2 linked regions of the Nothobranchius furzeri genome follow. The protein of the gene in region 2 interacts with the protein of the main gene of each other region in a biochemical or structural test. Links are inferred from orthologs where the notes say so. Each region holds a gene or a part of one and is shown on either strand. Other genes may lie near its edges.

Region 1 (16,039 bases), on a different chromosome or scaffold from region 2:
TCCAGCACTGACCGCGTTAATCTGTCGGGGCCTAAAGCTTTGGACTTCACTTCCACGATCTCCAGAAGAGATATCTTGGGACTGGGCTCATAGAGGGGAATGCAGATCCAATTCAAGGGCTCACTGATCTAGAGAGCGATAATTTAAAAAAGTACATTTATTGAGTTTAGATTAGAAATGATCTAACAAAAGGATTTTGAAGATTCTCACCTGATGCCTCATGTGTTTAAAGATGTGGCTGTTGCTAGGATCGGGCACTTTTTCATACAGACACTGAGGCAGAACAGGACACACTTTTCTCGGTCCTCTGGTCACACTGCAGCAGACACAAGACAGAGACCATTAGTCGAAGAGGCCATTTCAAAATAAAACAAGCAATTATCAAATATGGCTGATTCAATAATCCAGCCTTGTTCTATGAGAGAGAAATTCTGTTTAGTTTTTGTTTTCCCCATTTACAATCTTCAGCTGCTCACCTGTAGCTGATTTTTTAACTTGTACAGGATGAAGAGAACTCTGGCTTCCATCTCACCCACAAACTACGTTTCGAATTATTTTATTTGTTTTCGAGTCTTTTATCAGTTCTGCCCCTCCTACTTCTGATCTCCTGCAGCCACCTCAGTCTCTGAGATGTACAATGACCTTTGACCCAGTGTGAGACACTGATTATGGCCTCATCTTAAATAGTTTTACACCTTTGTGCTCATATATTTCTTTCATCAGTTTGTTTTCATCTTGGTTCTTATGAACGGCACTTTGGTCAGCCTTTGTTTTTACCAAATACATCAAACCACTCAGAGACAAGTTTAGGTTGATTTTCTTACCAAAGTGCAACAAAAATAATTGTGACCAACAGAAACCCAACGGGCACCAGGGTGTGGATCACATGACCTGAAGAAAAAACGCATTAAACAGATTCTATCAGCATTTAAAACCATTATTATAACTGAACACATTCCATTCATGATGATGTCATACCCAAGTCTTCCACATGCTTGGTTTTTAAAGTCGTGGTGACGTTTGGGCCGGGCCCAGCAGCAGTCACAGCTCGAATCCAAACCTTGTACTTCCTGCCTGGACTAAGACCGGGAAGCTTGTAGGTCATTGTTCCATGATCTGGAGTCACGCTCACGTTGTACACTAGAGGAGAAATGTCGTCTGGTGAGATGAACACATTTACTTCTGCAGCCATTTGAGAAAAACACAGGTTTGCTGCGTTTGCCCTTTTTGGTTAATTATACCTATAGATTATATTAAATCCGCCAAATTGATTTCTTGATTTTTTTTTCTGATACAGATTACATAAAGTGGCTGTGGTTGACAAAGTAAATGCAGTGTCTCAGAAAATTACAAAAGGTCAATAGGAATATTTTAAACACACATTTCGGGACTCTGAAGGGTTTGATTCCATGCATCAATAAGTGGTCGGGTCTCCTTTTGCATGAATTACTGCATCAGTGCAGCATGGAGGCCACCAGCCTGGGTTAGGGTCAGCATAACCCATCAGCCTGTGCTTCTGCTGAGGTGTGATGGAAGCCCAGGTGCTTTTAATAGCAGCCTCTAGGTCATCTCCATGGTTTGGTCTGGTGTCTCATCCTCCTCCATAGATTCCCCATCGGCAGTTCAGGTCAGACCAGTTGGCAGCCAATCCAGCCCAGTGACACCAGAATCATGGATCCAGCTTCTGGTACCTTTGGTGGTGTGGGCAGGTGCCAAGTCCTGCTGGACAATGAAACCAGAATCTCCATAAAGCCTGTCAGGGGAAGGAAGCACGAAGAGCTCTAAAATGTCCTGTTGGATGTCTGCGTTGACTCTGGACTTCAGAAGACGGCGAGGACCACCAGCAGCAGACGACATTATCACGGACCGTGGAAACTTCACACGGACTTCCAGCAACAAGGATCCCGTTCCTCTCCACTCCCCCTCTATACTCAGGGTGGGACTTTGATTTGCAACAGACCTGCACACTTTACTTTGACCTAAAAAGAGGACTTTAGACCACCAACCAGCTGTTGTTCTCAGCACAGGTAGAAGATGTTTCTGACGTGTCTGGTTCAGGAGTAAACCGACACCAGGAATGAGACACCTGTAGCCCGTGTGTAGGACTAGTCTGTGCGTACAGGCTCTTGGTGCTCAGACTTCAGCACCCGTCCACTCCTGGAGACGCTCCTCCACATTCCTGAATGGCTTTATCTTCACCATCCTCTCAGGGCTGCGGTTCTCCCTGCTGGTGCACATTCTCCTTCCACTCAACTTTCTATGAACACGCTCGGATGCAACCCTCCCTAACAAGCAACTTCTTCAGCAAGGAGCTTCCGAGGGTTCCTCTCAGGGTGGACACTTCTGGACACGTGTCCAGTCACTCATCTTCTCCATCGGCCCAGGCAGACCAGGAGGCTCAGGAAACGTTTGCAGGTGTTTCAGGTGGGTTTCCAATATTCAACATATTTCACAATATTTAAATTTTCTGAGACACAGATTTTGGTTTTTCCTTTTCTGTAAGCCATAAACACAGAAATAAATGAAGCAAAGGCTTGAAATATTGAACTCAGCGTGTAATAAATCTATTTATGAGTTTTTTCCCTTGAAATGAGAAAAAATATTGAACTTTTTCCACAATATTCACATTTTTTAGATGCATCTGTAACTTCTGTACCTGTTTGAGTTCCTGCGTGTTCTACCCCTATTTGGTAGTGCAAGATCTTCCCGTTCCGCTTGGAGCAGGAAACAGGCTCCCAGAACAGAGTCACATCAGTGGCAGCAATAACAGAAACGTTAAACGACGGCACCGCAGAGGGAACTGATGGGAAACCAGAGAAGAGCAGACATGAAAATGGACTTATACCAGCTGAAAGGGCTTTCGTGGATCTCACTGACCTCCTTGAACAGAATACGAGACGGCTGTTGAAATCAGACGGATCTGGTTTGAATCCGACACGACAAACAACGACACCTGGTATGACGTGTACTTTTTAAACACCCCTACAGGTGGAGACACAAGCAATAGTAAAACAACAAGTCTGAAACCGCCAAACACCTTTTATCAGTATTTAAACTAAGAGGTGACTTATTTGTCTAACAAAGCATCGTCTCATCTAGAAACAACGCAGACCTTTAAAAGAAACGGTCCTCCGGCTCTTGTCCACTTTGATCCAGTCCAAGCCTCGGCCAGGCCAACACTCCCTGTATTGCACCACATAATGTTTCACATTGTCGGGGAAGTGGGGGGGCAGCGTCCACGACACAGTGAGGTTCTCTTCAGTCATCTGAAGGTCAATAATCTGATCATCTGTGTGTTCACCTTGGAGGAAGACAAAACGTTTTAGTGCCATTAAAAGAGTTTTATTACAAATGGCCAAAGAAAAGTCTTCACCAACAACAAACTGCTCTTTCTCCGTTTTTAACTCATTCACTGCCAACGACGACTGAACTCGGAACGAGCCCCCGCACCGTGAGAACAAACATCCCATCTCTAAAGCAGAGCTTCATCTGCGTACGTCACACGTCACGTGATCAGGAAGCAGAAAATCCATGTGTTAGGAGATCGTTTTGGGCCGCTGCTGTAAAAAAGAAAAAGTGAGGTGCGAACCGGAAAAGCTTCTGTTGATCACAATTCAACAACGGATAACGCTCGAAACGCGTGGATTCTTCCTGATGTAAGAGGTGAGTCTCCGCTTTGTTTTGGTTGTTTTGGCGTCGACATCATCCCAGCGTGCAACGTTCTGTGACTCTTAAAAAAACAGTAAAAACGCTGGCTGTGAAGGGCTTTTCTGATCAGGAAACGGCTGGCAGTGAATGACTTCACGGAAACGTTCTTCTCTGAAGAGTTGTTTTGTTTACTGCTGTGCTGCTTTAACTCCTGTTAGATCATCTTTTTCTTATATGAATGCATGACAGAGCGTGTTGTGTCTGATGTCTGAATGACTTGTACACATTGATCAGGTCTTTAGTCTGATGTCAGTCATGTCAGCTGTTGAAACTTTACAACCAGTTTTCTGCTACTTTTATCCAGAAGATGAATTGTGATCCGGGTCTTTGACCCAAAGATTTCCATACTTGTATGGATTCTGAAAGCTTGCTACCTGGTTCTGGTACGACCAGATGAGAAGCGTTTCCGGTACCAATGGAGTTGTAGGCTGATACATAAACGGATGACACGCGCTTCAGAGACGAGGTTAGGTACCACTTCATCTCATCATACGCCCAGACGCTGCTTGGGTCCACCGTGGACACGTTGATGTGCTTCACAGTGCCGTTACTGTAGGAAACTGTCACTTGGTATCCCAGGATGAATCCTCGCGCCTCAGAAATAGAAAGATTCTAGATGAGGAAGATTTAGAGCGGCATGAGTCTGTGTTAGCAGGAAACATTCTTTAGTTTTGGTTTTTACATTTACCTTCCAGGTCAGAAAACAATCAAAGCTTGAGAAGGGAGTGACACAGTCCATCCATACGTCCACCTCTCCAACTGGAGCTGAAAACAAGACAAGTGGACAGAAAAATGGCTTCAGAAGTGAACTGAGAGCAACACAATCCATGCTGAAGGAAAGGCCGCTATTCCTGCCACTATAGTACCAGGAAACTCAAATGTGGGTCCAATCAATGTCTAAAGAAATGGTTAACTAAAAAAAGCAGTAATTTCTTGTATAAAATAATAAAACAGCTGTATAAGCTCTGCGGTCAGAACTCATTTATAATCATATGAATATGGATCTAAATCCTATAAAGCCTCACCTGCTTCTGCACTTCTTATTCTGTAGATTTCGCTCCAGTCACTCACCAGACTGGAGTCACAGGCACAACGGACCTGAAACTCATATTCTGAGCCAGGCCGGGGATCTGGGACTTCAAAGCTGTTATGTAACCCATCTTCATACTGAGCCTAAGAACACGACACGCGTTTACATTCATTCACTCATTTAATACTGCAGCACTTTTCCCTTTATTGTAAACAGGTGACGCGTACAGCGTGAGAGATGTAAAAACACACGAAAGGAAACACTGAAACAGACCTGAGGCCAGCCTTGGTCATCCTCAGCACGATACCTGACTTCACACGTCCCTTGGCTCGGCTGCAGCACACAGGCAACACTCCAGGTAACCTCTAATGAACCCTGATGGTTGGATAAAAACAAAGGAGGGGGCGGTTTCTCTGGAGGGGCAGAAAAACAGAGACAACAATCAGACACCTACAAGTCATACATCCAAAATATTACGCAGGCCAAAGTTAATACTTTACAGATGAAGTGGCAACATTTTATTACAGTTGTCAGCCATTATGGTTCTGAGTTGTCTTTAATGCACCTGAAACTACTTTAGTTTAGTGTTCCCATAAAGAAATGCACGAAAGGGACTTTATGGAGTTTTGAATTTTTATGCTCGTGATTGCCCCCTCAGGCCAAAACCGTAACAGCAGCTTCAATAGTAGGCTCGTGCACGAGGCGAGCATGCTGTACGTGCACACTCCTTAACGAAAATAACAGCTGAGACAGTCCTGTGTGTGTGTGTGTGTGTGTGTGTGTGTGTGTGTGTGTGTGTGTGTGTGTGTGTGTGTGTGTGTGTGTGCGTGTGCGTGTGTGTGTGTGGCCCGGAGGACAGAGGACAGGAGAACGTGCAGCTAACTAATTAAATAATTTGGTTCTGTACCTTTCTCTTCAGCACAGCCGACAAAGGTTTAAGATGGGTCAGTCCTCCTGCATGCTCAGATCATTCCCTTCCCTTGCTTGAAAAATTGTTCCAAAATGAAAGTTGAACCCACATCTTTTTTATCTGTGAATTCAACGCCGTTAGGCGAGTCTCAAATAAAAATTTGGGCATCTTACTGTAAAAAAATATACCATTAATGTAATAAATAAATTCTAAATAAATTATGTTCACATCCAGAATCGAACCCGGATCTTCTGCATGAGAGTCTGACATTTTACTAAGTGAGCTACAGTGCCAATAATGTCTTATGTATCTGTAACTTTTAGATTCTTGATGACAGCTGAAACAACGTTCAAAGAACGGTTCAAAGCAAAAATGGCTATTTCGTTGCTAATTTGCAGGAAATATCTAGAAGAAAGTAGCTAAGGGTCCTCAGAAATGTAGCTAGGTTCATCACTAGGCGTTAGGAACAGCGACAAAGTCGCTGAGTTGGCACTACCTCACTCCCTGCTGCTAAAGCTATGGATAGCAAATGCTACGGGCTATGCCTGAGCGTGAACGTGCATGAAGCAGCCTGCTCGACCCGAGCAGCTCTCTTTTTCTGTGATTTTACAGAAAAACAGGCAATCACAGTAAAAATGCCAGGGCTCATTCTACAGGACCAGGGCATTGCAGGAGGATGTATGAAGAAGAAATTTATTATTTCTATACATGTTTTGGGTGTCAAACTTCCATAATGCCCCTTTAAACTTGCACTGCCCCATGACGCAAGCTCCCACTAGCTTAACCAGCTAATGTGCTCATCTAAAAATAGCCCCCTTTCACAACATACTGAATGTGTCCGGTTCCGCTTACGCCAACATCATACACAAAATGCTGAACACCAACTAGAAATTCACGAAAATTTTATAGAAATAAAAGAATCTTGTTTATTGGGTCTTTGGTACTTTAAGACCTTTGGAAACTGTATTTAAGAATTATTTGTAATTTTTAAGGATTTTTAAGGCCTTAAATTTGGAAAAGTAAATTTAAGACTTTTTAAGGACCCGTGGATACCCTGTAAAGCCTTTAAATAAAAAAGCTACTATCTCATCACATTTTAGCCAAATCTTTGTAAATGTGACTAGAGCTATTTTGGTGTTTTCATTAGATATTTTATTATTGAACACTCATACATGACTGAAGATCTTTTGCTTTTTGGTGATAATGAATAAATGTTCTGGGCTGACTCACTGATAGCCTCTGTGTCGATGAGAGCATCCTGAGATTTGGCAGAACCGTTCTGGTTTTGAGCCTGGACCCAAACACGAAGTTCTCCATGGCTACGGAAGTTTTCACGATGGATTAACCCATCGTAGCTCCTCCCCCCTTTAATGTTATCATCACTGGAAAAAAGGCACAAGGCTAAATAAGATTAGAAGAAACTTAAAGCAAGATCTCTGTTAAGAAATGGGCTTTACTCTGTGTTTGTTGGCTCCCAGTGAAGGCTGTAGTTAGTGGAGTGGTCAGATTCTGGATCTGGAGTCCAAACACAACGTATAACAGAACAGCTGTGTGAACTACAAGGTCTGTAGCACTCGGGTTCAGACGGAGGAGCAGGGGGACCTAAAAGACCAAGAGAAGCAGCACATTTTTCATATTTTCCCAAAATTTTACCAAAAGTGGAATTATTGCAGACAGAAGGAGTCACAAAAACAGAATATTTCTGAAGCTCTATTGTGAAAATAAATATAATCACATAAATATTGTTCCTTTTGATTATCTACAGCTTGGGCTACGTTCACACTGCAACCAAGCTAAAGTGGCCCAAACCAGTAGTCCGGTAAGCCATCCTGTACATGTACACATGGTCTGGCTACAACACACAGTCATTGCTTGCTCTTTCAAACTGTCTCAGTGCTAGGACCAATTACAGCAGCGATGTCCAAACTGTTCAAGACAAGGGCCAAAACAGTCACGGCAAGAATGTGATTTTCTTAATTTACAAAATTCAAACATTATTTTATATTAATTTTTATTTGTACTCTTCAAAATAAATCCAAAATAGGCTTATAAGTAAAAATCTAAACATAAGTATGTTACAAAGCGGCAATAAACATCCTATTGAAGAGACAAAATTCATCATTCTAGAGGGCTAAAAATGGCCCCCGGGCCGCATTTTGGTCATGCCTGAATTAGAGCAACAAGAAGTGAGACGCACTCCTCGCTGCAGAACTCAGTCAACGGAGCAAATATAGTTTTTCAAAATAAAACTTCCTCTATCTGCTCATGTCTCAAAGAAAAGCTCAAATCGAAATTGTTCAGAGTTGATGCCAAAGCCGTTTCAAAACAGCACAGTCACTGAGCAGACGCCATCTTTGTAGGTTTCACTGACGTGCCAAACCCACCTAACGTCTCTCTACAAACATTAAGTGCTGTGATTGGCCAGACCTAAACTTGTTCGGGGCAATGGTAGACCTAGAATAGAGTGTAGCTAGACTGACCTGCTACGGTATGTTTAGATTTCTAGGCTATCAAGCCAGATTTACTTGCCCACATGTGTCCCTTGTTTGATACTTTTAGGATCATCTGAACAACACAAATCTTTTTTCCTCCTCACAAATAAGACTAATGGCTGCATGGTGGCGCAGTGGTTAGCACTGTTGCCTCGCAGCACGAAGGTTGCAGGTTCGAAACTCTGCTCGGCTGCGGCCTTTCTGTGTGGAGTTGCGTGTTCTCCCCATGCATGCGTGGGTTTCCTCCGGGTACTCCGGTTTCCCACAGATATCACAACATGCCCTATAGGTTATAAATTGTGAGTTGCTTTGGATAAAAGCGTCTGCTAAATGAATAAATGAAATAAATGAACTAAACTCACTTTCATGTGTGGCAGTCGTGTGACCAAGTCTGCTTTGCAAGTCACAAGTAGGTCATGTTTCTGTTTATGTATTTAGCAGATGCTTTTGTCCAAAGCGACTTACAAGTTATAATCGGCATGTTGCCCTTGAGGCTAACAACAACAATAATAACAACAACAACAAACAATTTCCAGTCAGTGGTAGGTGGCAGTGAGGCAGCGCGATGAATCATGAAGAGGAGAGAACAAGGAGTGGACAGTAGAGGGGGGGATGGGTGCAAGGAAGTTGCTAGTTAAAAAGATGCTCTCTGAAGAGCAGGGTCTTCAGGAGTTTCTTGAAAGTCGAAAAGGAAGCCCCTGTTCTTGTAGTGCTTGGTAGGTAATTCCACATTTGTGGAACAATGTTAAGAGTCTGGATTGTCCTGAGCGTGGTGTAGGCACTGCTAGCCGATGATCCTGTGATGACCGGAGCGGCCAGGCTGAGATGTAAGCCTTTGCAAGAGGATTCAGTTAGATGGGAGCTGTACCATCTCGGACTTTGTATGCTAGTGTTAGCAATTTGAATTTGATGCGTGCTGCTAGCAGTAGCCAGTGGAGCTCAATGAACAGAGGAGTGACGTGTGCTCTTTTTGGATGATTGAAGACCAGATGCGCTGCTGCGTTCTGGACCATTTGAAGAGGTCTCACAGTACAGGCTGGAAGACCAGTTAGAAGGGCATTACAGTAATCGAGGCGGGAGATGACAGTAGATTTCACCAGGAGCTGGGTGGCATGTTGTGTTAGGTATGGTCTGATCTTTCGTATGTTATATAGCGCAAAGCTGCATGAACGAGCAACAGAGGTAACATGATCTTTAAAGGTCAGGTGTTTATCAATCACAACACCCAGATTTCGAACTACCTTTGAAGGAGCCAGAGATAGGAAGTCATTTTGGATTGAAATATTGTGCTGCATGGATGGTTTTGCTGGGATGACGAGTAGTTCAGTTTTAGAGAGGTTGAGTTGGAGATGGTGGGATTTCATCCATTTTGATATGTCAGAGAGACAGTTTGATATTCGTGCAGAGACAGTGTGGTCGTCTGGTGGAAATGACAGATAGAGCTGGGTGTCGTCTGCATAGCAGTGGTAGGAGAAGCCATGTGATCGAATGATCTCACCCAGTGAGGTAGTGTATATGGCAAAGAGAAGAGGTCCTAGTACAGAGCCCTGGGGGACACCTGTGGCAAGATGGTGCACAGCAGAGGATTGTCCAAGCCAAGATACACTGAATAATCGTTCTGTGAGGTACGATTCAAACCAGGCATGTGCTTTCTCTGTGATGCCCATGCTAGAGTGTGTGGACAAAAAGAAGCCATGGTTGACAGTGTCAAATGCAGCCGATAAGTCGAGGAGGATAAGCACCGAGGATTTGGCAGTCGCTCTAGCTTCTTTTAAAGATTCCGTCACTGCTAACAGCAGTTTCAGTGGAGTGGCTCTTTTTGAACCCAGATTGGTAAGGGTCAAGCAGACAGTTTTGTGAGAGGTATTCTGTGATCTGCTTGAAAGCCTCCATTTCAATGACTTTGGACAGAAAAGGGAGGAGAGAGAGATAGGTTGGTAGTTCTCCACATGATTTGTAGGAGGAGATGTTTTTTTTAGCAGCAATTTAACCTGAGCATGCTTGAGAGGGGTGGGAAATGTACCGGATGTCAGTGAAGCGTTGATTACATGTGTGACTGCTGCGGCTACTGTAGGAGCAATAGCTTGGAGCAGCTTAGTCGGAATGGGGTAGAGTGGGCATGTAGTAGGGCGGCTGCACGTGAGAAGCTTGGACACACAGTTCTCAGTGACAGGGGAAAAAGAGGAAAATGAAGCAGTAGGGCTTGAGATGGATGGACTAGAATCCGTCATTCTCCGTTTTCATGTGTTGTAAAACCCCCAACCTATCAGGGGGTGAGTGGGCATGGCCAGCTTATTGTCTTGAAGTGATATAACTCTGAAACGGTTCATTGTGGAAGGTACTGAAAATGTCAAAAATAAAACTGCTGAAATGGGTTTATGTGAGATGATTGTTTGCAAAAAAAAGTTTTATATCAACCATAGAACAATAACTTTTAAAAAAGTATAGGTCTCATTTAACCACAAATAACAAAAAACAGCAAAGGGTTTTATATTCAGTAACACTCATCTACCTGTCCCTGCACACAAAAACACTTTTTTTAAAAAAAAATTCAATATCACAGCCCTGCCACCTTACCCATTTCTCATAAACCTACGCTCTGGTTGAATAGCTGCAAAGCAGACTTTACAAGAAGGCGCAATGTGAGTAATGGTAACAGGAAATATGCAGCTTGTCTGTATGAGTGTACTCCTCTCTAAAGACCACTTCCTTTTCACTACATTCAAAGTAAACTGTAAGCATCTACATAAAAATGTTTTTAGAATGATTAATTGAATATTTGGTGTGCAACTTTAATAAAACAGTAAGTTTGACGTTGTCAGGCGTTTAAATATCTGATGCAATAAATGGAAGCTTGTTGCTGTAAAATGCATATAGCTCTTTGTAATTAAATGGTTGAAAGGCACCTGCTCTTGAGGATTTGGTTCTGATCTGATGAACTTTTTACATAAACCAGGATTAATTGTTAGCAACAGAAGTTGTAGAGTGTTATGCTTGTTAAAGTTTATAATGTTACCTGTAAAGGCACCACATGGGACATTTTAAACGTGACTAAACTAGCTTCTAGGTGAACATCAGACCTACCAGAGGAAGGATAACCAGACGGTAGGATGACCAGCAAGACGGGCAGCAGCCACCTCCTCGTAGGTGTGGCCATTACATTTGTGTCTGTAAACAACAGAAAAGACAAAGAAAACATGTAGCCGCGTTCTAGACAATAATAAACAACGTCTAGAGAGCGAAAAGGAAACAAGTTGGAAGCTTCTGAGTATTAAAAACCAGCTTAATGAAGCGTCTGCATCCATCAGAAAGTTTATGATTCACAAGCTCACGCGCTGGTTGTCAACAGGTCGCAACAGTGTTGCTAAACCGAAAACATAAGTAGTCAGACAATTAGCTTTAACTTTGGTAGGATTACGTGATGAGCACAAAAGATTTACCTCATTGCGAGACAAATAGAGACACAACTGTGAAACTAACGCTGCCTTCTCTGCTCGTGCCCGTTGTGAGCTTTTAGCCCCGCCCACTCCAGGAAATGCCGCTGACGCATGCGCGTGCCTGTATTCTTTGATGCTGCAGATTCTGTACTCTAGCTTCCCGCACGTCTTGAACGTGCTTTTGCAGCACAGGCGTGCTTGTTTTCACCATCATTTCACTGAGCTATCATTTAAAAACATAAATAGACTAAACGGATGACGTACACTGGCACTGAAACCGTGTTAATGAGTACAAACAATAGTTACGCTTTCAAGTTTTACTTTCATTTAGTCACGTAAAACGTGTGATCAGTCATCTCCACCTTTCTTTATGCCTGTTTAAAGGGAGAATATTAGAACGTACCGTACGAGTTGTTAAATGATCATTGCTTCAGTTTTTCTGTGTACTTAGCTTTCTAGTCATTTTCAGATGACTTATGTTTTCCAAGCCAGAAAAACATTGACCGTTCAGACATGAAATGCTTCTAAATCAAACCACTGTTGAGTCAGTTTATGACACAACTACTTGCCTGTCACAAAGACATTTCTTTATCTATGAAAAATACCCCAAATAAACAGTGTGAAAGGTAAAATCATATTTTAGAACAAAAACTGATTTCTAAAGTGTTAACCTGAATAAATGATGTGCAGTCTTTAAAAACTAAGTCAGGTGAGTCCAAAGTGTGGTTTGGGGGCCATTTGCGGCCCTCACTAGCAATTTTAGAATTGTGGAAGTCTCCCCAGGAGACTGTTGATATCAGCGCCTTGGGCTTCCTGACAGGGTTGCGGAAGGCGCTTTATGAATAAAGCTTTGATTGATTGATTGATTGATTGACATAAATTCATATATTTTAATATTTTCAGTTATAAATTTGCATTCCTAAAAAATGTACATTTTTGTGGCCCATGAGGAGTTTTAACTTTATGATTCTGGCCTTCTTGTAAGTTTGGACATCCCTGCTGTAGGTTATACTGACTCAGTGCATGTATCTAGTCCTATTTCAATTACTAACTGCAGAATTCTATGGATCAAGTTAAAAATAGAAAAAATGCTGATTGTTATTTCTCAAATTGTTATAATAAAGATGTAAATATTTCAAATTAAAGCTCTGTGAACTAAGTTGATAAAAATGAAATCTAAAATTGTAAGAATCCAGTATCCTTAAATGAAGATCAGGGATTTGTGAGGTTACATTTTTAAAATGAGGTAAAAAGACACAGAAACATGTTTGTAAGATTTTTACAGTTTTGTGACAGTTTTATTGTTGTTGATTTGAATTTATAAGCATTCTCTCTTACATGAAACAATAGAAAAATAAAATAAAAAATGTTTGCAATCAATAATGGTAGACCTAGAACAGGAGTGACTTTATGCCGCAGTTTTAACAAACATTTATGACATCAAGGTTTTAACAGTTGCAGCAGCAATGGAATTTAATTGGTTTGAAGTCAAAATACACTTTTTAGTGATATTCATCCATCAGCGGAAGAAATTTGACCCAAAATCCTTAAAGATTCACTCATAAAAAAAAGACTGATTTAGGTTCTGTAGAAGTCAAAATAAACGTCCATGTTTGTTGCATGATGAAGTATTGGTGTAAAAATATCATCTGCAAGCACACAGATTTCCAAAGCCAACCCTCAGCAAAGAGAGCTGATCTCACTTTTGCTGCAGCCCCACTTGCAGCAGGCGTTAGACAGCCCCACCACCACATCCCGACCTTTGCGGTCAGCTTTACGAAGAGCCTCCAGGATCTCGTCAGTGATGAAAGAGCGTGTCGACCTGCTGAAAACCCCCTCCTGGTTGTTTCTGGGTGTAAAGCTGAGATCTTTGTTCCTCTGGAGGAGACTTTCCACTGAAAAACTGGGATTCAAACCCTCTGAAGAATCGTCCTGATGGGAACTGAACGGGTCCTCTGGAACATCTGCTGGAGTGGAAAAATGAAAAATCAAACACTGCAGAATTATTTTTTATAACAAATTTAATAACTGGTCGATGTATACTGTTGTTAAAACATTATAAAAATGGCACGAGAGAAAAAGTGAACATAAAATCCTTTTATACAGAGTTTTGAGGAAACAGCAGCTCAGATTTTGAAAGTGGGAAGTGACTGGGTTAGTGTCAAACATAAAGTCCCTTAATTTGAGGAAGTTATTTCAAATCTTAACTGAGCCACTACAAAAAAAAGGTAAAAAATTGATCATTTGCATTGTTTCTTTGTGAGAAGAAAGTCCTATAATTAGTCTCCACTAGCGTTTTTAAATTTATTTTGTATTGTTTTGGTAGAAAATCGAGCAAAAATGTGTACTTTTTGACAGCTAGCAGCCCAACAACATGTGCTGTGTTAGTTCACAAAGCATAGGTGGGAAAGAAATTACTTTAACACAATGAACATACACATTTTAACCACTTTTAAAATAAATAGCAAGAAAAGAAAAGACTATTACTTAGGCATGTGCGGGGTGCGTGGGGGGGCTGCTATTGTAAATTTGACACATCACACCTGAACAGCATATTCTGTCTTCTTACCTGGACCCCTGAGTGATCGTTTCCACCGTGAACCTCCACAGGTGAAGATAACAGCTCGAATGAACTCTCGGCCACACAGCTTCACACCGTACGTCGGATCCTCCATGGGCTGAGCCTCAGCCACAATCAGACACATGGCCAGAACCACAGCTTTCCACATGCTGCAACAAGCAAATGCAATAGACTAATATTCTAACAAGGAAAAGGTAATTTGCTTCAGTCTCCCTGCTTGCCTGAGCTGTGACTCTGCAGGTGACCCAGTGGTGGTTTATAAAGGAGTTTGGAGACATGCATGGCAGACGCTCACACTGCGCATGCAGGCCTTTCCTGCAAAGAGAGAGATTTTAAAGACAGATATGATGAGAGACCTTTATGCAAACAAAAGGCAGAGCAAAAGCGTATACATGTCGATGAGCAAAAGTGGCCTAATCAACAAATGTGTTCCAGTGTGACGTATAATAGTCACCTTTAGTTGTCCTGAATATTTCTTCAGATACATCAAAACCCTAATAAATAAAATGTTCTGAAATCATCAAAACTAACATAAAAATACACGAGCAAAACTTAGAAAAAATATGTAAAATAATATTTTTTTAGGTAAATTCCTTGACAAAATTACATTTAAATTTACTATTTATAATTGGTCCCAAATACACATGATTTAAATGTCGACTTGCTTAATTTCTAAGAATTAAAAACGTGATTAATATTTAAAACAAAAATCATACAAAAAGATTAGCAACATAAATTAATTTAAAAGCTAAAGATAATTTGACCATTATAAGATTTACTACCACTCTGAGTTTAGCATCCTTCATTTACACCTGACCCTAAATGGCTTGAGACAGTTCCGTTTCCCTTTCCTCTCTCTCTTTTGTTAGCCCTTTGCCAAAAGGTGAACAGGAGGGGCTGAGACAGGTCCTGTGACATTTTCAGAAACAGATAACATAGAAACCCCATTATGAGTCACTAAAACAGAAAACACATTTTTATCTATCCACATAGTCAAAGGTCACTCGTTTAGGAAATTACAATAAAGATGGTGAATCTGTAATGAATGCAAGGATAAAAAAAGCAAACTAAATGGCATTTTGGTAGGGTGGTCACTCTGACACTCATTAGCATATTGCCACATAGGTCATTGTGGCAATATAAAATTTAATCAATTGTACTTTTATTAATATAAATGTAATATAATTTGAAATCATTTGCAACTAATGTTAAAGTTTTTAATTATCAGTCTTTGGTTTTCTGTTGCGTCCCAACTCACTTAAGTTGCTCCTTAGGGCAGTGGTGCCCAAAGGTGGGGTCAGGACCTCACTGTGTGTCCAGAAACACCAAATATGAGGTCCTGTTGTCTCTAAAAATCTAAATTAAATGTTAAAATGGTTCACAACGACACATTTTGCCATGATTCTCACAGGGAACTGAAATAACACAACAAATGGTTATTTGATTGTAAGGCTTGTTTGTCTTGAAAAAAAAAACAGCTTGGAATTTAAGGAGTAGAATAATTATGATTTTGCAGAAATTTCAGGGGATAAACATCCTGCAAAAACGTATAATTTAACTGTTTTTTAAAGTCTTTTCCCTGTCTTTCCAATCATTTTATGTCCTGTTAAGTGCCACAACTCTCACTGCCTACGAATTGTGATGTTGAGCTTTAGAAGTTTCTTTGAAGGTTAAACATCCCTACCAACTGTCCACTTCCCTGATAAGGACATATCTACTGTTTTACTGATTAAACATCCACTAAACTTGTGGAAAATACAAATGGGTGTGGAAGACTTAAAAAAAAAGGGGGGACACTGTGACTTTAAGACATATCGGCAGCACTCAGCCAATCAGCGTAGGGAAGGAGGAGGGAAGGGAGCGGGTGGGTAGCAACAGTTG
Region 2 (16,669 bases):
ATTGAAGTACAGGGACTGCAAACTAGTAACATAAATTAGGTTATAGTCACAAGCCCATGACTTTTCCCTGAATGACCCCCCCCCCCCCCCCCCCCCCCCCCCGGCAGATCCTGAAAGGCCTACCCAGTCTCTCAGCCTCTCCAGTATCAGGTGATGGTCAACAGTGTCAAAGGCTGCAGTCTGGTCCAGCAGGACCAGACAGAACAGTCCCCTGCATCACTGTGAGTCAGAAGGTCATTAGAGATCCTAAGAAGAGCTGTTTCAGTAGAATGAGCTCTACAAAAACCTGACTGGAAGCTATCATAGATGTTATGTTCATCAAGAGCAGCTGTGAGTTGTTTAGCCACAACCTTTTCCAAGATCTTGGAGATGAACGGAAGTTTAGAGATGGGTCTGAAGCTGCTATGGAGAGAGGGGTCGAGACTCGGTTTTTTAAGAAGCAGGTGGATTACAGCGTTCTTAAAGTAAGCAGGGACCTGACCAGAAACCAGAGAAGCATTAATTATAGAGAGCATGCTGGGACCGATGGACTGAAACGCACTTTTAAACAAAGATGAGGGTAAGATGTGATGACTGTTGCTTGACTTGCTCCGCCCCAGCCTCTGCCATCTGGTGAAGATGTCTTCTCATATTGATCAAACCTGTTGAATGACAAATACATAACACATATGTAATATATCTGGTAATTACGTTTTGATAGAAGATGCAACAAGAATTGTTTTTAGTAATACATACCTTACAAATACTATAATTTGTGTCAACAGACTCGTATAATTGAACTTTAATTATGTTGACAGGATTGAAATGAATAAGAAACAGATTAAGGTATGATATTAAATTATAAAATATTACCTGCTTCAATGATATCGTGCCTCTCAGTCCAGGTGGTCTTGAACTTTGGAAGAAGGATTGCAGCAGCAGTCAGCTCAGGGTCTTCCATCATCTCACCAAAGTGCTTTTGGACACCATCCTGAATGGCTCTGAAGAGTGGCAGACACATCTTGGAGACAGTCTCCAGTCTGCTGAGTTTTTCTTTTAGCTGGAAGATCACTTGAGGGGCGGGACTAGGAAGCTCAAAAATGACCAATCAGAAAAAAGAAGGAAATCCCAACTGTACCACGACGCGGTAGATTTCTAGTTGTAGTAAAAAAATAGCATCTGGCAATGGCGCAAACATCTTTTATTTTTTATAAGAAATGCTTTTAGCGCTTCTACTTGTGGTTTTAAAGACATCTGTGTCATTTAGAACAGAGGAAAGAGCCACAGTGAACTCCACCACTGTCTTCGTTGTTTATGAGAAATTGAGCATCGCCGTGTATGACGTGAATTAAACAGGAGTCTGGCAGGCCAGGCTGTCTTTCTCGTACCATTAGCGCCTATTTTCTTCTCCTACCCATCGTTCATTGCACTGTAAGGTCACTGAACACATGCTTCACATTAAGAAGTTCAGCTCACCTGTTGACCGCTCAGACATCCCTTCATTCCTTCTCACAAGCTTTGATCTTAGGTGATCCTCCAGTCATCCAAATAGTCAGTTAGTGTTTCTTATCCTTTCCTTCGTACCCCGCAACACTCTCGTAACTTAAGCACTCAGTTCTTCTGGTGCGCGCCTTCAGCGTCCGCAGCACTTCCGTGTTTGGGTCTTACCAGTATAAACATATATACATACATAGACACTTCGTTAAACGCTGGATCACTCTCGAGTACGTTAAGACGCTTCTACATATGTATGTGTGTATACTCTCCTCTCTTCTCTGTGGTGTCTGAGTCTGAATCCAGTGCGAACCGTGCCGACACAGTATTTTGCAATGTTGTTTTTTTTTTTACTCGGTAACAGATAAGATAAAAACTGTAGCGAAGTACAATACTTACAAAAAACAATACTTAAGTAAAAGTAAAATTACAGATTTTAAAAACTGCTTAAAAAGTGTAAATGCGCAAAAAATCTACTCAGTTACTGTAATGCAAGTAAATGTAATTAGTTACTTCCCACCTCTGCATACGATGACACAATATACAAACAACTGGAAGGCGTCGCCATGGGTAACCCGATATCAGCCACCCTGTGAGAGTTTTTCATGGAAGACCTAGAACAAAAAGCTATAGCCACCGCTCCCCCAAACTGTAAAATAAAATTATGGAAACGCTACACAGACGACATACCGGAAATCATACCAAAAGGACAAACAGAAACACTAACACAACACTTGAATAACATTGACGACACAGGTAACATAAAGTTCACATGAGATGGAAACAGATGGCAGTGTAGCATTTATGGACATGAAAATAACCAGGCAGACCGACGGGACCCTAAACATAAATACATATAAGAAACCAACACACACAGACCAATATTTATTATGGACATCAGAACACCCCACCATACACAAAATGTCAGTAATCAGAACATTATATCACCGAGCAAACATGGTAACAGAAGGAGAGTGTAAACAGGAGAACAAACACATACAACAAGCTTTAAAGGCCTGGGGATACCCGACATGGGCAATAAACAAAGGAAAACAACAAACAACAAAAGAAAGAAAAGAACAACCAAAGCAAAGAACCAGAAACACAGAAAGACAAGAACCAAAACCAGTGATAACTCTACCATACATCAAAGGCATAACAGAAAAAATAAAAGCAACATTGAAAAAACACAACATAAACACACCAACAAAACCATACACAACAGTTAGAAACAGACTAGTACACCCAAAAGACAAGCTACCAGCTGGACTTAAATGTGGAGTCATTTATGAAATCCCATGCAAACTCTGCAATAAAACATACATAGGAGAAACCGGACGCCAACTCAACACACGAACAATAGAACATAGAAAGGAGTGCGAGAAAGAAACAAGTCGAAAACACAGAAGAGCAGCAAAACAAGAAGCAGAAAGCACAATAAAGAAGTCAGCCATAACAGATCACTGCACAAGAGAAAACCATATAATGGACTGGGACAACACAAGGATCATGAACAGCGAACAACAGAAATACAAAAGATGGATAAAGGAAGCAATCAAGATAAGGAGACGTGGATGTGAGACCATGAACAGAGACAATGGAGTTTAGTCAATGGATCGTGCATGGGACTGCATCATCGGAGAAGGGAGATTGGGCAGCAGAGGGCGACAACGTCCTCTGCTGCCCGCGGATAAACGGAGTAGGAAGTGACACCACCATCAGCGTAGCTCTGAGAGTGTTTTGGTCGGCAAACAAAACGTACGTCAGCAAAGTAAAGAAAAACCTTTCCTGTGTTTTAAAAAGAACCAAAAATGGAATTAGTAACCGTCAACCTTTGCTGGGGAGGTTCACAGCTGTGCGTGAATTGGCTGGGATGTGGTTCAGCACCTTTAAATCCAAGGTCATGATTCTGCAAATGCTGATTAAATACATCTTTAATATCTTTTGTATATTACTTAGCAATCAGAACTCCATGGTTGGCATTTTCTTGTGTGTAGATCTCAGAATTCATTTTCCACGATTATTACAGTTTTTTTTCGATTGCTAAAACACGTTTTTCAAAACTGTACGTTTCTTTCAAAACTGCACACACAAAACCCCAAACATAACACACAAATTGCTAAACCGTGGCTTCCCTTTGCAACAAAACCCTGCCATCACATATCGTAACATGTTCCCAAAATGGAACACGTGTTTTCATTTGGTAAACACAGCCACATTTTCACATGACACACACATACCATTCATTGCTTAAACACAGGTAGCCTTTGGGTGAACACTACCAAGCATGGAAAGAACACTGAAGAGCAAAACTGAAAACACAATTGTCTAAAGGGAACACAATGAATTACACACTGAATGTATGACAGTGCCCACTTTTCTCTGAGACAAACATTAGACATCACACAAATTTTGAGACAAAACATTTTATTTTTACAGTTACAGTAACCACCTCCACCCCCTCTCCCATTCAAGCATAATCATGGGGCATCATGCCTCTGGTCTCTGTCTGGCCAGAGGGCCTCATCAACATCACAGGCGATGTCCTCCTGGTCCAAACAGCGCTGGAAGTACTGCCTCGAATGCCTCATGAAGCCCTGACAGGCCTCAAAGGCCACATCTCCAAGCCTCCTCCATGGCTTGAAGCGGTGGGACCTGGCTCTGTGGATTCCTTTCGTACACCTTCCACCTCCAGACTGAGAAAAACTCCTCAATGGGATTGAGGAAGGGGGAATAAGGTGGAAGGTATAAAATGGAAAACCGTGGGTGGTCCTGAAACCGCTCATACACCTGGGTAGCCTTGTGGAAACTTACTTTTATGCTGCAGTCCCTGATTGCAAATTGCTCACCAGACATGAAAGTTTAGAGATTTGAATATTTGTGTGTTGTTGATTGAAGCTTTGAGAGTTTGTTTGACAAGTGTGTGTAAACGTGAAAATTGTGTGCTGTGCTTTGACAGCATGGTGATGTGAAATTGACATCAGAGTGTAAAGGAGGACAATCAGAGAGCTAATATGATAAGGCAATCTTAAGTAGTGATAAATGGAGTCAGGCGATTGGGAATTGAAGTAGAGGTTGTAAAATTCGTGCCTCATTTTTGATTTTTGAGTTTTAGCAATCGAAAAAAACTGTAAAAATTATATTTCAGTTCTATTCCATGATGGCATCAATTGGTGGATGAAATTAGTATCAGTCTATTTTCCAAACCTTCCAATCATCTCATCCTGTTGCTCCCTGTTTAACTTTAGGGAGGAGTTTCTTGTCCACTGGGTGTCCAGCTGCTCCTCTGTAATTATCTCCTGCTATAAAGCCTCAGTCTTCTCTGCCAGATGGTAGGCAAACTTTACATTTTCTGTCTCATTTAAGTTTTAAGTTTTCCAAGGAAACTTTTCAGCCCTTTTCCTCTTTTTCTGATGCAATGGCCTTACAGTTCCCTTTATCCTGGACCAAGGAGACACAGCTCAGCCTGTGCAGCGTCTTGGTAGAAGATTATCACTTCTCCTTGGGATGAGTCACCACTCACTGTTCTGTTTCCGTCCCTGTCAGTCTCAAAAATCCAGCTCCTTATCTAACCTGTTGTTTCTTTATCCGGGTTAGTTTCACCTCAGATGACTTAAGCCAAGTTTGAAGTGTTGCAATAACAAATATGCTGGATGTGGAGTTTGCTTCCTAGACATTATTATTACTAAATCACTGCAATTATATAAAGAACTTGAGACTAAGTTGTTGTTCTTTTATTATTATATAAAAACACATTACTGTAAGTCAATCTTGCTAGTCATCTGAAGCTCAGGAACTAGCCATGGATGTGAGCCTAGAATATTTAAAGAATTTGAGTTAGGGGTTTCCATAAGCTGTAAGAATAAGCATCACAATGATAAATAAAGGCTGACATATCTGGATTTGTATCTAATGAGTCTATCTCATAAATTAGTTTCACCTTTTAGGTTGAACTACTGAAATAAACTTTTACTTATATTTTTTAATTTCACCTGTTCTCATTACATTTCATATCCTAGCAAAAGGTCAAAGGTGAATGAGTATAACCCTACATGTCTTAGTTTAAAACTCGATCACAAAAGACAGCCGATGAGAAGTATTCCTTTAAGGAATTTTTTTTCCTTTATCAAATCCTGCTTTGTTTTAGCAGTTCTCAAAATGATTAAGAAAGCTGTAAATACCTTCAAAACAAACCCCTAAACTTTTTCTTTCATTATTAGAAGTTCAGTTCATTTTTTTAAAGAATTGCCAAGAAAAATTACATTCCTTAAAGTCATTCCACGACTTTCCTGTATAAACCGTTGGCTGTTATGATAAAACATTTCATTTCATATCATATAGGAGACACACACAGTGATATTTGGGAAGTGAAACAAAGTTTATAGGATTTACAGGAAGTGCCATTTTATTGATTCCAAAACCTTTAGAACTAATTATTGGAACTCAGAATTCATTTGTTATGAGAAAGCGTATTTAAGGGGAAATGGAAGGCCACAGGCACAGTTCAGGTTAAGGCTCCAAGTGGCAGAAGAAGAAAAATCTGGGATAAACAAAAGTGAAGAATGGTTAGAACAGTCAGAGTCTACCCACAGACCAGCATCAAAGACCTACAACATCATCCTGCTGCAGATGGAGTCTATGTGCATCGTTCAACTATTCGGTGCACTTCACACAAGGAGATGCTGTATGTGAGAGTCATGCAGAGGAACCCTTTTCTCCGCCCACAGCACAAACAGAGCTGCTTGAGGTTTGCTAAAGCACATTTGGACTAGCCAGCTTCATTTTGGAATAAGGTGCTGTGGACTGATAAAACTTAAACTGTCATTTGGGAATAACAAGGGGCGTTATGCATGGACGAGAAACACCTGCTACCTACAGTAAAACATGGTGGTGGTTCCATCATGCTGTGGGTTGTGTGACCAGTGCAGGGACTGGGAATCTTGTCAAAGTTGAGGGACACATGGATTCCACTCAATATCAGCAGATTCTGCATGTCCAGGGATCAGTGACAAAGCTGAAGCTGCACCGGGGCTGGATCTGTCAACAAGACAACCACCCTGAACACTGCTCATTATCTACTAAGGCATTCATGCAGAGGAAAAAGTAGAATGTTCTGGAATGACCATCTCAGTCCCCAGAGCTGAATATTATTGAGCATCTGTGGTGTGAAGGAAAGAGAGCTGTCCATGCTGGAAGCCATTAAACCTGAATGAACTGGAGCTGTTTTGTAAAGAACGGTCTAAAATACCTTCGACCAGAATCCAGACTCTCATTGGAAGCTATAGGAAGGGGGGCTGTTATTTTTGTTAAAGAAGGATTTACTGAATACTGAGTTCATTTGTTTTCTAATTTATGCACCTGACTAATTTTGTTTAAACAATTATTGCACACTTTCTGTAAAAACTCATAAACTTTGCTTCACTTCTCAAGTATCACTGTGTATATGATGTATTTAAGTGAACATTTTTATCGTATCAACCAACGATGTGTACAGGAAAATCAGGAAGATTAACAAGGCTGCCCTAAGTTTTGATCCTACTGTATGTCAAAAACACAGAATATACCTTTTGCACGCCGGAGAATGGACCAGCAGGTTTCGCTGATGTCAGAAAATCTAATGCACAAGAAGACAAAGAAAAATGGGGTGATGGTGGGAGCTACAGGACACTATTCTCTTCATTAAAGTCTGGATCAGAATGAAGGTACCTTTCTTTGCCCCTCGTTATACAGCATCTCTGCTCTCAGGCTCCAAATGTGATCCTTCGCCTCACAAGGCTTGTTCTCACCCCTGACAACGTGTAATAGCTCACTGCGACTCTGGCAGTGACAGCTGCAGCATCTGAAACCACCGCGTTTGAGTGTTTCTCACTTCTAAGCGGCAACGCTTCCTTTCCGGAGGGGAAACAAAAACAAGCAGGATCGCGTATGAAACAGAACAAAGGAGAAGTTTTATTAAAGATTTATTTTTCTGTTGTTTCTCAACATTTCTGACAAATAAAGCCTCCTCATCAGCACAGTCAGAAGGGTGAACATCAGTAAATCCCCTGAAGAAAATTCACTCTGGAATCTGAATTCCTAATCCTAATTTTGATTTAGGCTGTTCAATCCCACAAAAGGGGGTTCCTTGGGGGGGCTGGATTGATGTGACATTCATCACCCACATGACAGATTGCTCTGTTGTATCAATTTATTAGCCTGGTCCTGTACCTGTACACACACACACACACACACACACACACACACACACACACACACACACACACACACACACACACACACACACACACACACACACACACACACACACACACACACACACACACACACCGTCTCCCTCATTTCTCTCTAATTAAATTAACCTTGCTTTCATGTGCCAAAGAACAATCAAAGCTGTTTTCCTTTGCACTGCTTGTTTGGGTTTTACAGGAGGGTCAATGATGAGTTTCTGAATCCAAGCTGACATTTATTTGTGTTTCTATTTGGTGACTTTGTCTCTCAAAAACACTCAGATAGAGCAAATTAGCTTTTAACTAAACACACACTGACATATTTAAATTCCATAATTTTGCTGCATTCGCTTTGGATCTTCAACCAGTTTTTCTTCTATGGGCAAAATAAATGCTGATTAATCAAGCATGGATGCATAGAATGTAACTGAGTCACAGAAAATATACCATCTGTAATTTGTAGATTATTATTAAGTTGCCCGGGGTTTATTTAGAGTTGTTCATGCCTTTAAAAAGAAAAGGATGCAAGTGATGCAAACATGAATGTGAGTTCTTCCTCCTGCACAGCTCAGATCAAATTCTGACTTCTGTTATTATTTTTTTATTTCTACTGAATTCCTGCTTTGTCTCAGTTAATAAAAGATGACACATTTTACATAAGTCAAATAACTATTTGTGTTTAACTTCATTTTGAAATATTATTTGCATGACCAGTGATGGACTGACAAGTCCAGGATGTATTTGTTTGTTTGGCCAGACAGCGGATAGGCGCCAGCCCTGCCCGGATGAGCGGGTGTAAAGGATGCATTTACATCTTTGTAGGTTAATTATTAAACAAAAGGTTTTGAATAATTATCCTTTTTTTTTTTCAATTAATTTTCCAAATGTGTTATTTGACCTTTCAGCCAGAAGGTCAGCTGAAATTCATTTAATTCCTGTAATTTCTTAAACATCCTTTGAGCAAAAACTAAATAAAAAATAAATCCAAATGGAGAACATTAGACTGCTGTATGTTAAAATCCTTAGTTTATGTTATATAGGCTTTATTTGCCCAAATTAGAATGAAAAATAAAAATATTATAACTATATGCCCCAAAACAAATTCAAGCACAGGAAGGAAGCTATCCTGCTTGCACAATAGCGTCTTTTTTCAGTCCAACTCTTTATTTGAAATAACAGCTTTTGAAACCTCAGCTGTCTTGTTGAGATGTGTGACCAACCATCAGTCTTCTGTGGAACTGGCCTCGTTTTAAATCTGGAACATGAAATTCTTCAACAGGGAATGTCATCCTGATCAAAGAGGAGAACCAGCAGGTGTCCAACATTCCACTGACAGCTTTACTAAACATTTGTGACATTTTTGAATGAACAGCACATTAAAAAAAACAGAGTGGGTGTTTTAGCTGCTTCTAGTGAACAAAAGACAAACTAAGTGTTGAAAGTTTGGATGTGTTCATTATGTGAACAAATAGGAGCTTGGTGATTGATCCAACATTGTTTTCTCTTTAATTTTCGTTAAAATGTATTTCACTTGGACTGGTGCGCATAATTCCCCATCAGCGCAGCTGCCAGGTCTTCACATGGCGCTAAGTGCTGTTCTGCGGTAGGTCTCGCCTGTCGTTATAAATGACAGCCCCCGGGGGATAAAACACCACGTCCAGCGCCGCCGGTGCGTTACCGACCCCGAGCGCGTGTCCGCGCTCGTCCAGCTCCGGCTTTATTGAGGCAGTGATTGGTCTTAAGGTGGTCACAGATGGAGAGGTCATGCGCCAGAAGAGATTCTTCAGCGCCTTTCTGAACTCCCGTCTCATCAGGCAGTACAGGATGGGGTTCAGGCAGCTGTTGGAGTGCGCCAGGCACACGGACACGGGGAACACAAACACCTGCATGGTGTAGTACTCATAGGTGAAATGCACCGCGTTCAGTTTGATGAGGATGCCCCAGGCAGTGAGCGCCTGGTTGGGCAGCCAGCACAGGAAAAAGGACAGAACCACAATGGTGACAGACCTGGTGACCTTGGCGCGCCGCTTTGCGCTCGATGTGTTGATGTTTTTGTTGGTGATGAACCGCAAAAGCTGCAGATAACACACGCAGATAACCCCCAGCGGCACCAAAAAGCCCAGCAGCACTTTCTGCGAGTGGTAGAGTCCCAGCCAGAACTGCGCCGAGCCGTTTGTTTCTGGGAATTTGACGAGGCACAGGTCCTCGTTGGAAAAGGTCGCGGTGGTGGAGAAAACCGCGTGCGGCAGCGCGGCAGAGACGGCGGAGAACCAGATGAGCACAGAGACGCAGCGCGCGGACGAACAGTGCGTCCTCCGCCGCCTTCCTTTGAGCGCAGAGGCGAGGGAGCAGTACCTCGCCACGCTCATGGCCGTGAGAAAAAACACGCTGGCGTACATGTTCATGGCTGTCACGTAGGATACTATCTTGCACATGGCTTTGCCGAAGGGCCAGGTGAAGTCCAGCGCGTTCTCCACTGCCCAGAACGGCAGTGTCAGGACGAACTGGAAGTCGGTCACCGCCAAACCTGTCACGAAAAGGTTGATGGAGGATTTTCTCCACATCTGTTTGGACTTCATCAAGTACAAAACCAGTAAGTTCCCCACCAGACCAAGAGCACAGACCAGGGAGTAAATGACGGAGATAGTAATCCTCACGACAGCAGCGCCATCTCCAACAAATTCAGCTTTCCCAAAGTCTGACATGTGGAAGTCCCGGTGCGAGCAGTTGGTGCTGTTGAAAACGCAGCTGGAGTTGAAGGATGGAGAAAGGACCGTCCCGGAGGAGCCTTCCTCATTTCTGTCACTAAATTCTCCTGACATGTTATCTTTCATCCATCAAACATATTTAGCGAAGTCACGCCAACCAGTTCACTTTCCGGGAAAACAAAAATCCGTGTTGGTAAAAAATAAAACAACCTTTACACACACACACACACACACACACACACACACACTTCAGGCGTTAACTTGTTCATTTAGATTAATGAAATGCTGCCGGAGAAGAGACGGAGCTGATCTTCAGGTCATCACTCTGAGCTTTTGAGTGTGTCTCCAAAACTGAGAAGCGAAAAAAAAAAAAAAAGCTCCTGACGCAGCGCTCCGGCGCAACCTGGCGCTCCTTGGCTGAGGCGCCACGAGGGAGCAAACAGCCGCATCAATAATCATTTCTAATGTCATCAGCTGTCATTGTGAGGCTTTTAGGAAACCATTGATGATGTTGTGCTGGAATTTCTGTTTTTAAATCCACTTGACTCGCTCCCTCTCTCTCCCTCCCTTCTCCAATCCTCCCCAGCGTCTTCCGAGCGCGTGCACGTATACACGCATGGCATGCATATTTTTAAAGAGTTTTAAATGACCTAAGAATACATTTTGATTCACAGAAAGTAACTGTTCTGGTTCTACTGGATTTAAGTGCTGCCTTTGATACAGTGGACCACAACATTCTTTTAACCCGGTTAAAACACATCTGCCTCTCCAGGGGCGGATTTAGGACTGAAAAAGATCCGGGGCGTAACACACGCGCGCGCACGTGCGTGCACATACACACGTAACACGCACTTAGTCTTTTCATAAAACATTCGGGGCTTGAGCCCAAGTAGCCGGGCCTAACGCCGCCCCTGGTGCCATCCATAAATGGTTTACTTTGTGTCTCACAGACGGGACATTTATGATAAGTCTAGATACCTTCTGTTCTAAGACCCCTGAGATTACATGTGGTGTGCCCCAGGGTTCGATTTTCAGCCCAGTGTTTTTTAATCTGTATATGCTTGTGCTTCCACTTGGTGATGTCATCGGACTACACAGAGTACAATTTCACAGTTATGCAGATGATACACAGATGTACATCTCTGTGTCTCCCGATGACGCACAACCATTTGATGCCCTTTTTAATTGCATTTCGAATATTGAATCCTGGATGGCAGAAAACTTTCTCCAGTTTAACCTGGACAAAACCGAAGTCTTCTCAAGTGAAGAACCTGGGTGTGATTTTTGATTCTGAGCTAACTTTTATCCCCACCATTAAGAACATTGCAAAAATTGGTTTTTATCACCTGAAAAACATCGCCAGAGTCCGCCTCTTTCTCTCTCTGGCCGATACAGAGACGCTGATGCATGCTTTGATCACCAATAGAATTGATTACTGTAATGCCCTGCTATCTTGTCTTCCCAAATAGAGTACCTCAGGTTTACAACTCCTGCAAAATTCAGCAGCTGGTGTCCTGACGAAGACCAGGAGGCAGGAGCACGTTGCACGTGTCTTAAACAAGCTACATTGGATTCCTGTATGTTTCAGGATCGATTTTGAGGTTCTTTTAATCTTTTTAAATGTCTTAATAGTCTTGGGCCTTCTTATCTCTCAGACGTGCTTCATAAATACGAGCCTTCGCGGTCCCTGCGCTCCTCTGACAGCCATCTCCTCGTCATTCCAAAAGTCAGAACACACTCCCAAGGCGAGGCATCCTTCCAGTTTTATGGCGCTCACCTCTGGATCAGTCTGCCAGAGGACCTCAGGGCCATAGAGAGTGTACTTGTTTTTAAGACCAGGATCAAGACTCACCTTTTTAGTACAGCGATAGTTCAGTGATTTTGATCTATTTTAGCCTGTTTTACCATCTTTTATGTATTTTATTAGTGTTTTACTTAAATGACGCATATTTTCTTATATATTTTTTTAACTTGTAATAATTATTAGTTTTAACCAGTATTAATAATCTGTTGTACAATATTTTTATATATTTAATTATATGTTTCTGCTTGGTTATCTTTTATCTGTGTGTTTTATTTAGATTTTTATTCATCAGCTGTTTATGTTTAATTTGTTTCTTAACTTGTTATCTTAGTCTCATTAGTAAACCAGTGTTTCCTCTGTGGGGGCCGGCTGACCCAGGGGCAGCGGTTGGCTGTGGTGGTTGGGGTGCTTCTCGTGCCTCCTCTTGCCCAGGCTACTGCTACCGATCCTGCTGCTCCCGGTGCAGTCTTGATTTATTCCTACTACATCTACACTCAGCCAGCAGCCCTTTCTCTTTTACGTGTGTGTGTGTGTGTGTGTGTGTGTGTGTGTGTGTGTGTGTGTGTGTGTGTGTGTGTGTGTGTGTGTGTGTGTGTGTGTGTGTGTGTGTGTGCTTGGGATGGGATTGAGTGTGGGAGGAGGGAAATACAAAGCGGATCCTGTATGTGAATCTGTGTGGGAGGAGTGGGAAACCGACTGCTGTCTGGTTGTTGTTAATATTGTAAAGCGCTTTGAGCTGCATTCTTATGAAAAGCGCTTCATAAATAAATTTGATTTGATTTGATATGTCATGGCATCATCAGGGAAAGGTGAAACCAAGAGAACTCCCATGGGGACTTGAATCAGCATTTGCTTAAAGTTAACCAGTTAAGCATAAATCTAATTTTTTTGTATTAATAAAGTCACCTTGAAATGTACGTTTGTCTGACAGCTGTGGTGGGATCATCAAGCCTGAAAAACGAGAGGCTGGGGGACTCTGAAATTTGTCTGGATTTTTATAGGCTCAGTGCATGCAGCAGAGCAGCTGTTCTCCATATTTTTGGCAGAAGTCTTTGCTTTATTTCCCAACTTCAGCACAGAAGTGTGTATAATCCACACTCCCTTACAAATAAACAGCTGAAGCAAAGATTTTTCATTTAAAGCTGTGGTTTTCAAACTTTTTTATAGGACCCCCTTGCCTGTGTCCAAGACTAGCCAGGAACCCCAAACACAACTCCTACACGCACACGTGATCATTTACAAACTTTAAGCTAACTTATAGCTTTTTATGGAGTTTTGATGTGTTATTGGGATTGTATAAATGTAATAAAAAATACATCTCACTAACCTGACAACCACAGCACAGACTATTTTGTGGGGATCCCTTGGGTCTTGGATACCCAACATCAACAGGTGCATGAAAACGTTTCAAGGCACATTTGCTTGTTTCTGGTGTGCATTCAAATTAAATGGTGAAATGGTAAATGGCCCGTATTTAATATAGTGCCTTCTAGAGCCCTCGAGCCCCCCAAGGTGCTTTACAACACAATCAGTCATTCACCCATTCACACACACATTCACACATTTTTTCTGAGAATTTCTGGTTATTTCTGTCTTTTCAGGTCAAGAGGATTTAGTTTGACAGTAAATGTGATTTGTCTAAGTGTCTTGTCAGCTGATGAGGGAATGCTGAGCCAACAAACAGATGGAGAGGATGGAAATGCTGTAACCTTGGGCTGAGGATGGTGAGTGCCATCTTTAATGTCTGTAGGAGTGCACAAGAGCAAGACGTTATGGTGGAAACTTTTGCAGGATTTAAAGTGAAACATATGTGTTTTGTGCAGTTTGATCTAAAATGAGGTCTCAAGAAAGGTTTGACAGGAATAATTGGTGGTTGTGCACAGCCGAATGTGGTATTTTCTTATCTACAACTGCTTAAAGGGACCATATCATGGGAAATCAACTTTTTGGAGCTTTTTACAATGTGTTATTGACATTTCCTCATTAAAATTACCCCGAAACCTGTTTTGGCTGCAATCATACTCCTGTTCCTGTCTCAGCCACAAGCCTCGATGGAAATCAAGGACATCATTATGCCCTGCTCCTCCCCTGAAGCTAGGCTGCAATCTGGAACCCACCTTTCTTGGAAGTAGTCAGTAATGCCCACTTTCTCCGAGTTGCAGGCATAGAGTGGTTGATTTCGTGCTGCAGTTTAGAATGTGACCTTTGTGTTACATGACTGCTTTAAACCTCCACTTGTACCAGAGTGGATGTTCTGACAAATGACTTCTTCATTAGGGACAAAACACTGCTGTAAAAAACATGCATCCTGTCCACAGTGAATGGCTAGGACAGAACATGTGTTTAACACTTTGTAAGAGACTTGGTAGCCCAGTGGTTAGAGTACCTATGTTTCATGGTGTCTTACACCGGTTTGACTCCCAGTTTCAGCAGTAACATTTTTTCTTATTTCCTAGCTACACCTGCCAGCTTTTTAAACAGTTTAAAATATAATAACAATTTAAATTTTTATTTTTTTTTACTTTCTTTGTGTGAGTCCATGTGACGTGAGCAGAGTATCAACTACAATACTGCTTGGAAATAACTAAATTCAAAGATCTTTAAAGACACTAAATATTTTGCAGAAAATAATCAATAAAACTAAAACATTTTTTAAAAATGGAACCTGCTTCAGCTGGCTAAATAAATTACTACCCACACCAGGAGTCGAACTGGCATGAGGACACAGCAAAAGATGAAAGGCAGTTGCTTTAACTGCTAGACTACCAAGGACAACACAACAGTTGGTTTGCCCAAGACACCATTGTAGGTGTGTTTGGTTGGAATGGGTGTGACTGGAGCTTTACTGAAACAGACCACTTCATTTCTGAGTATAAATTTAGGCTGATTAAAATAACTCATATTTAAGATAAAATGACATCTCAATCATGCCAACAATAAGATTTCATTATATACTCTGCCTACCTTTGCTCTCAAAGGCTTTAAATAACATGATCTGGCCCTTTTAAGAATATTTTAGCCTCCTCATCTTAATAAAAATCCTTAAAATTATATACATTTGTTTTGTAACTAGCTGCTAATAGCTCCAGCTGTAGATTGTTGAGTTACTTGTGTTGACCACAGATAATTAAATATATTTGTCGTTTTGGTAGTGAAATAGTTTACCTGCAGTCATTTAAAGTAGTATAATTTATTTTGAAGAAATCCACAGGAAGTGTTGCTGAGTTATGTCTAGTTTAGCATTATGAACGCTGCCTGTAATAACAGTTTTGTCCCTGCAGAGGGCGGACAAATCCGTAACCTCAAAAACCAGAGGATTTAATTATTGGTATTCCATCCAGTTGGCCTGTCAAACCAAATGTCAGATTACAAGTGATTAAAGCAGAAAATGGAATCTAGCACTAGTAAGTGAGCACTATATAACTAAATTAAATGAAATAGAATTGAATTTTGAAGAGCAACATAGTTCAGAACCTCACTGATTTTTTTCTTGGAAAACACAAAAACTCTTCAGACTCCTTCTGTCTTTTACAAATCTCTGTCTTAATTATTAAACAGAATTTTCAACCAGTCTCATGTCAACAAGGTAGTTGAAGTGAATACAACTTCTTGATTTTCTATTAAGATGATGCATACTCTGTTCTCATGTGTTTTGTTTGTGTTTCATACTTTGCTGGTTTATTTCCTCCAAAGTGCTGACATGCTTCAGTTCTCCTGCTGGATTTGGCTGAATGACTTACGCTGATATGTACGATTATTAAAGTCACCTGCAGAAAAGCAAGATTTTTCATTAATATAACGAAATGCTAAATGATAAAACTGCACTCATGTTTGCATTTCATCATCAGTTTTCTGACTTTTAATTAAAGGATTGTGAATGCATGTAGAATATCCGTAATAATTTGTCTATTATTCATCCTGTGTTAGTTTAACTTTACAAGACATACCAATGCATGATGAATGCAAGACCTATTTCCTCTCTGTGTGATGTTTTAACTAAATACAGTGGGATAGGAGAATTTCGGCAGCCTTGTTAATTTTCATAACTTTTCTTTATAAATCGTTGGTTGTTATGACAAAAAATGGCAATTAAATATATCATATAGGAGGCACACACAGTGATATTTGATAAGGGAAACAATGTTTATAGGATTAACAAAAAGTGCAATGATTGTTTAAACAAAATTAGGCAGGTGCATAAATTTGGGCACTGCTGTCATTTTAATGATTCCAAAACCTGTAGAACTAGTTATTGGAACTCAAAATTGGTTTGGTGGAAATAACAGCCTCTAAACTCTTCGTATAGCTTCCAATGAGAGTCTGAATTCTGGCCGAAGGTATTTTAGACCATTCTTCTTTACAAAACATCTCTAGTGTATTCAAGTTTGATGCCCCTGAGCATGGACAGCTCTCTTTATCTCACACCACAGATGTTCAATAATATTCAGGTCTGGGAA

Evidence for each region.
Region 1: the proteins of rxfp3 (region 2) and rln3a form a complex in vitro, tested with the Homo sapiens proteins (2 studies listed by BioGRID, with this or other methods). The link is inferred for Nothobranchius furzeri from reciprocal best matches to the Homo sapiens genes RXFP3 and RLN3.

The regions. Positions count from the first base shown.
Region 1 is NC_091752.1:53,617,050-53,633,088, reverse strand, and holds rln3a (relaxin-3a), read right to left. Parts: upstream 14,448-16,039; 5' UTR 14,307-14,447; coding exon 14,147-14,306; intron 13,545-14,146; coding exon 13,258-13,544; 3' UTR 12,845-13,257; downstream 1-12,844. Other genes in the region: il12rb2l (interleukin 12 receptor, beta 2a, like), read right to left, coding at 1-128, 211-316, 825-891, 979-1,140, 2,657-2,800, 2,878-2,982, 3,113-3,301, 4,083-4,320 and 6 more. UniProt on the Homo sapiens protein: May play a role in neuropeptide signaling processes. Ligand for LGR7, RXFP3 and RXFP4.
Region 2 is NC_091746.1:59,471,993-59,488,661, reverse strand, and holds rxfp3 (relaxin-3 receptor 1), read right to left. Parts: upstream 10,743-16,669; 5' UTR 10,535-10,742; coding exon 9,287-10,534; 3' UTR 5,880-9,286; downstream 1-5,879. UniProt on the Homo sapiens protein: Receptor for RNL3/relaxin-3. Binding of the ligand inhibit cAMP accumulation.